Canis lupus familiaris: one gene and its partner. The protein of the gene in region 2 interacts with the protein of the main gene of each other region in a pairwise test. Links are inferred from orthologs where the notes say so. Each region holds a gene or a part of one and is shown on either strand. Other genes may lie near its edges.

The links.
Region 1: the proteins of KAT7 (region 2) and NINL interact in a two-hybrid assay, tested with the Homo sapiens proteins (2 studies listed by BioGRID and IntAct). The two-hybrid records come from large-scale screens. The link is inferred for Canis lupus familiaris from reciprocal best matches to the Homo sapiens genes KAT7 and NINL.

Annotation. Positions count from the first base shown.
Region 1 is NC_049244.1:1,804,561-1,808,078, reverse strand, and holds part of NINL (ninein-like protein), read left to right. Parts: intron 1-459; coding exon 460-589; intron 590-3,518. UniProt on the Homo sapiens protein: Involved in the microtubule organization in interphase cells. Overexpression induces the fragmentation of the Golgi, and causes lysosomes to disperse toward the cell periphery; it also interferes with mitotic spindle assembly.
Region 2 is NC_049230.1:25,823,746-25,826,845, forward strand, and holds the end of KAT7 (histone acetyltransferase KAT7), read left to right. Parts: intron 1-893; coding exon 894-995; 3' UTR 996-2,597; downstream 2,598-3,100. UniProt on the Homo sapiens protein: Catalytic subunit of histone acetyltransferase HBO1 complexes, which specifically mediate acetylation of histone H3 at 'Lys-14' (H3K14ac), thereby regulating various processes, such as gene transcription, protein ubiquitination, immune regulation, stem cell pluripotent and self-renewal maintenance and embryonic development.

The DNA.
Region 1 (3,518 bases), on a different chromosome or scaffold from region 2:
AGAAAAAACCCTGTGCAGAGGACAGAATCCCGGGACACATCCCAAGACTTGCTGCATCACACCCACGGCACAGCACCACTGTGCTCTTACACAGAGCACCTGGGGTTTCAGATGTTGATGGTTCTCTGTATTCTCTATGTTTCTTCTCAGTTTCTACTCCACTCTGTGTGCATGTGTGTGTGTGTGAGAGAGGGGGGAGAAAGAGAGAGAGAGAGAGAGAGACCGCCCCTTCCGTATATCGGGTGGTTGAAAGTGGCACAGGGCATTAGCAAGTCAAGAGCATTGCTTTGGTTTGGTTCATGGGTCATTAGGAAACTAGAATGCAGGTTGAGTGTGGTATGCTGGAAGGCAGGACCTGACACCTGGCTGCCCACTTGGGGGGTTGGCTCCACTGCTCTGCTCCCCATGGCTCCTCAGGTGGCCGCAGTGGCTGCAGGGGTGTCTGGCTCTACTCTGCAGGACCTGCAGGACCGCAACGACGAGCTGCTGGCTGCACTGGAAGGCCTGCGGGCACAGCTGCCCTCAAGTTGGCATGGCCGGCCCCATGCACAGCCAGAGGAACAGCTGCTCCCTGGACACGGCCCAGCAGGTAGGAGCCCAGTCCTGGGAGGTGACAGATTGTGCGCTCCCACTCTGGGGGACCAGAGGCCGGTGGCCATGGGGGTCTGTCTGCCCTCACAGCCCAAGCTTCCCCCCTGGCCTAGGCATGGCATGTCAGGCTTCCAAAGGATCACATGCCCTTCAGCCCACCACCCATGGGAGAATGGCCTGTAACCCCAAGTCAGGGATAATACCCAGAGCCCCAAGGGAGGTACAAGAGGGTGAGGTTCTGCCATTTGGGTAGAATGGGAAGGTTAGGATGACCTTGTAGTGACCTCAGGAGAGGCATGTCCTAGTGGGTCTTGGGTCGCAGGAGAGGATCCAGAGATTCCCTAGGGTGAGCGTTCAGCATGGGTCAGATGTAGTCATCTAGGGAAGGGAGGGCTGTGAGTGAGCAGGGCGGTGGTCTCCCAGCCTCGCTCAGATCATCAGGTCTGGTCTTGGGTCTGTGACAGGTCAGAGAGGGAGGACAAATGTCTAAAATGTGTCAGGGACTCCTGATGCTCACAGAGGCCTCATGTGGGCTCTTGCAGACAAAGCTGGTATTTACTGCCTGCATAGTGTGAAAGGGGCTGGGGCACCCTGGAGGGCCCACTCCACCCCACTGTGCACAGAACTGACGCTGAAGGAATTACTTGAGAAAGACCGGGGCTTCACGCTCCTCAGTTCTTCAGCCTCTGAGGTTCAGGACAAACTCCAGCAGGCCCCAATACCCTCTGTGTAAGTGTTATTGGCTGCTTTTAGAGACCAGAATTGGAGGGTGGGGTCCAGATGACACAGCTGTCTTTCAGGTTTCCATGGTCCTTCCAGGACAGGGTGGGTTTGGCTGGTAGCCACCTCTCCTGGCAGTTGTGTAGGGTGAGCACTATGCAGGTTCACATGCTGCATGCGGCTCCCCATGCAGCTCCATGCTCACTGCTGGTGGGGGGCCTGTCAGGGGGCCACTGGGACTGTGTGGCTCCCAGCCACCTAACCGCCTCTACTGACCATATATCATGGCAGAGTCAGCCTCTTAGAGCTCCCATATTGTCCTAAACCTGTTTACTTAATAAAACAGGAAAAAGGGGGGGGACACCTTGGTGGCTCACTCGATTAAGACTCTTGATTTCGGTTCAGGCCATGATCTCAGGATCATGAGATTGAGCCCTGCGTTGGGCTCTGCCCTTAGCACAGAGTCTGCTTGAGTTTCTCTCCCTCTCCCATTGCCCCTCCCCTGTTCTCTCTCTCTCTCTCTCTTGTTTTTTTAAAAGATTTTATTTATTCATGAGAGACACAGAGAGAGAGAGGCAGAGACACCAGCAGAGGAAGAAGCAGGCTCCCTGCAGGGAACCCGATGCAGAATTCCATCCCAGGACCCCGGGATCACACCCTGAGCCGAAGACAGACGCTCAACCGCTGACCCACCCAGGCATCCCTCTCTCTCTCTCTCAGATAAAATAAAATAAAGTCTTTTTTTTAAAAAAGAATAAAGTTTTTACCTAAGAGAGCCAACATGGGAACCAAGTGAGGCTTTCTGTGTGCTGAGTCCAACTTGCTCAGTCCCTTAAGGGGACCCCCACAGCATCTTTAGTGGAGTCTCATGACTTCCGACAGCGGCAGTCCTGACTGTCCTCAGTTGGACGTGTTGGCGTAGGGCCAGCACACTGGATGGTATCACATTCCCAGATGAGGTGGATAGCCTGGCCAAAGGGAGATGATTGTTAACCTCCCTTTGTCCCTGGAGGAGGTGGGACTCTTGTCAAGACTACGGACTCCTAGCCCAGGGAGTAGCAGAGCTAGGGACCTGTACCTGGGATGGCTGTTGTCCAGAAGACCTTGGGCTGTGGCACCAGAAGGTGCCCCGGGCTTTATGTCATCACTGATCTCCCTTTCCAGGGCCCTTGCCCTTCACCTTTGTCTCCCACCATTCCCCCATCTGACCACAGAGGTTCCACCAGTCACTTCACAGAAGGAGGGGTCTGTCTGCTGCCTGGGAGTTTTGGTAGAAGGGCTGTGTGGATGATGACGGCCGTGCCGTCCGTGCTCCAGCTGGAGCTCTCCCACCGGCGCCCGTTCACCTGGGTCTGCTCGGCCAGAACCAGGCCGCAGCTCCAGGTTACAGGGCAGCAGGGGCTGCTTTCTTTCTTGAAGTGCTTATCGTGACTTCTCTCGGCCACACGGCCCTCACTCTGTTGATTTTTTTCATAGCAAATTGTTAAGGGCTGTGTCATCTCCCTTCACTTGCCCAGCCCCAGACCCACATAGAGAACACCTGAGCTATGTCTGAATTCGCATCCTAAGCTGACCGCTGGGCATGGTGCTGGGAACACCTGGTGCTCTGGGGGTGCTCAGGCACTTGGGTCTCCACGAGCTCCTCGCAAAATGAGCTGCAAGGACACCTGACATTGTCAGTGGGGTCACCCACATCCTCTGTCTCGTGAGCTGTCAGAACTTTTGCTCTCTATTTATGCCTAACTCATTTGTTGAAACCCCATGTTATTATCATGTAATAGTAGGTAACAGAGCCTCCAGGAAAAGGGCAGAGTTAAAATAAAAAGGTTGAAGAACTAAGGCCCGTAGTGCCTCGTCATAAAGCACCACACTTGTTCCCCTGTCTTCACAGTTTATGTGTCTGGTGTTGTCGGGGAACAGAATTCAGGGGTCATGAGCATGTGGCCTCTTTTAGGGAATCTGGGGGCCTGACATCTTGCAGGGAGCCTCTGGGGTGTATCTCTGAGTAATTTGTGTTCTGGCGAAGACTGGGAGTGCTGATTCCCAAAGAGCTCCAACCTTGAGGGCTCAGCGTAATAGATTGTGCATGGGAACCCCCAAGGGCCGGCTCTCTGCCAGCAATGCATTCCTCTTCCACAAAGGGCCGTGGGGGGCCGTGGGGGGCCAGGGGTGAGGTGGAGGAAGATTAAATACTCGGTGCCGGCCAA
Region 2 (3,100 bases):
CTCGATCCCGGGTCTCCAGGATCACACCCTGGGCCCGAAGGCAGTGCTAAACTACTGAGCCACCCGGGCTTCCCAATAGCCTTTACTCCTTAAAGGAGTTTGCCTACATGTATCTTTTACTGGGTCTCGTTCCCTTTTTCTTTTCTTTTCTTTTTTTTTTTTTTTTTTTTGGTATGCTGTGCATCGATGCCTGTTAGGCTTATCTCCTATCTTATCAGAAGCTTTTAGTAAGCTGTCTCAAATTTGGATGGCACAAGTGAAGGAGCTCAGTTAAGCAGATTTGTGTCACACAGTACTTCTGTCATTTATGGTTTTCTTAGATTGGAGCAAATTGCCCATCTGTTAAAGAGGAGTCCTCATTAACTCCAGAGCTTGTGGAAGTGCACATTTTTAAAAATTTTTTTTTTTTAGAGATATTTCTTTAGGGCAAGCAGGGGTCAGGGCAGGTAGCGAGAGAATCTTGCAGACTCCTTACTGAGCATTCAACCTAACTCAGGGCTTGGTCTCATGAGATATTAAGGTCACCACCTGAGCTGAAACCAAGAGTCAGGTGCCCAACCTACAGAGCTGCCCAGGTGCCCCTTGTGGTGGAGGTGTTTGAAATTCCTTTAACAAATGTCATCTCAACCAATGCCCAAATTCAACTTGTTTAAGTGGACTCATGTTTAAGGGAAGGTGAATAATGATTTTCACTTCTTTCTGAGGAACACAGAAGAAATGGATTGTAGGGGAAAGCATTTTCTAAATCAAAAGAGAAGTTTTAATACCTGCTTCACACCTTAGTATATTATTAAACCTTTGATTCCTTCTTCACTAACAAGCATTTTGGAATCCATATATAAAGGTATTTTCATTGAATGTGTATAGTCATTTTTCCTATTGTTCTCCCGCAGGACCTGATTGATGAGTGGATAGCCAAAGAGGCCAAAAGATCTAACTCCAATAAAACCATGGATCCAAGCTGTTTAAAATGGACCCCTCCCAAGGGCACTTAAAGTGACCTGTTACTCTGAGCCAGCGAACCCCAGCAGTAGGAATCCGTACCCTAGGGATCTGTCTGTCATTTCTGTTGCTCTTGTGATTGGCAAGTACAGTATCCTTTGGGAAGGCCATCCCCCTCAGGACTGTCCTGGCTCCGACCCTCGTGTACACTGCAGACGCTGGTTCTGAGGAACTGTTGTTTCGGCCTCAGTGAGGTTGCCTGGATGGGATCGCTGTTTAGACTTGAGTGCAGATCCCTCGTAGCACTGACCCAAGGTGTTCTGTTTGGTACTGTACCTGTCCAGTCACTGGTTCTCCTCATGTCCTCTAGCCCCATGAGGTTGTGTTGTGTCTTCTAAACTTTGTACTAGTGCTTCTTGCTGCCCGGATACCAGACTTCAAACCATGGTTGCCACCACCAGGACCTTTCCAATTACTCCTTACATGCGGTTTTTTTGGAAGAGCAGGGAAGAGGTAACATTTCTGAGTGTGTGTACTAGGAGGGGTCCATTCCCTTTGGATTTTATCTCACTTGAAATTTTTTCTGCCATTTTTATTGAAAGGCCGGTTTTTGATCCGTGTCAAGCTGACAAGAGACCAATATTTTTTAAAACTCTCCCATGGATTCGTCTTGGTAACTGCACATAACTTAATCAGAATGAAATGGAGAGAATTGACAGGTGGTGATTCTGTAATTTGATTTGAGTTCACCTGTGGGCATCGTGTGTCAGTGGAAGGAAACCAGTCCTCATTGCCTCACCAGAAAGTGCCCAGCCCTAAATGTTTTCCTCTCTCGTAAGCCCTTGCTCCTTTTTACATTGGCAGGGGCTAAACAGTGTCCGGTTCTCCCTTTCATGCTGCATGCTAACCAGTTCATCAGACTGCAGAACCTACCCCCCGCCCCCCACTGTACCTGCCAGTCTCATCTGGCACACCTGTATTTTTGCATTGATTTTTTTTTTTTTTTTTTTTTTTTTGCCTAAACCTCCTTGGAGAAGTAGGAAATGAGTGCACATGACTTCCAGATCTCCTCTAAGCCCATGACTCAGCAAGGCAGAGTGCCACCCCCTCCCAGTGTTTGCTTCTCTGACAGTGCCTCGCCCTCCCTCTTGAACTGAAGTGCTCCTGCCCTTCCAAGAACTCCTCCTCCATTTCCTTTTTGGGATTTGCCACCATTCCCCCTGTTCTCTGCTCTATTTTTGGTTTCAAGCAAAGGAAGAAATGCTCCCTCTAATTTCTCTCCAGCCCATTATAACCTGCTATCTTGGGGCAGCTTTTGATGTATGACATGCCACCCTTCCCAACTTGGTCTCCTCCAACACTGCTGTCTTCGTGTGGAGCCCTTCCCACAATCCCGACTCTGGTCATTTGTGCCTTTCTCTTGTCATCTGTGTACACTACTTATACTCCCTGTGGGTTGGGGGGAGCTAATTTTAAGCATGTTCAGTGGCAGCTCCCTGCCAGTTTCAGTGTCACTGTTAAAGTTTATCCAAAAGCAACTTCACTGGGGGTTTTCTTAAGGGGTAAAGGTCTTTTACCGAAGCTAACCCTTCCCCACATGTGGTAGAATGTGCTGTTCTATATCTACTCCTCAATAAAGCATGTTCTCTGCTCAAGCCTGTTTCATTCAGGAACTCTTCTTTGTGTCTGAAAAGGGTGCAGCTGACCTGCTACTAATAGTGAGTACACCTGGGGTTTACTTTCCTCAGCAGTGAGCTGGTTGTTAAGGGATGTGGTTTGTGGCTGTGGAGGGTTTTTTTTTTTTTTTTTTTTTTTTCTGTGATGCAGGCTATCTATAGAGGGAGTGATTATTATGAACTTGTCTAGTTGGTAGGACAAATTCTGCCTCTCTTGGTTGTGACTAATAGATATGCATAACAATGACTAGTAAATATTCCTTACTTTTTTAAAACCTGTATGCCCAACATGGGGCTTAAAGTCACAACCCTAGGATCAAGAGTCCTGTGCTCTTCCCACTGAACTCAACCCCATGCCTCAGTGTTAATTCATCCCTAAGTTCATTTTCTTGTGATTTCAAGGGCAAAGGTACCAGCAGAAAGGATCTGAAAGCCCTTGCATTAACCTGTAACATTTACCCAGTGCAGGAAAAGGGAGGCTG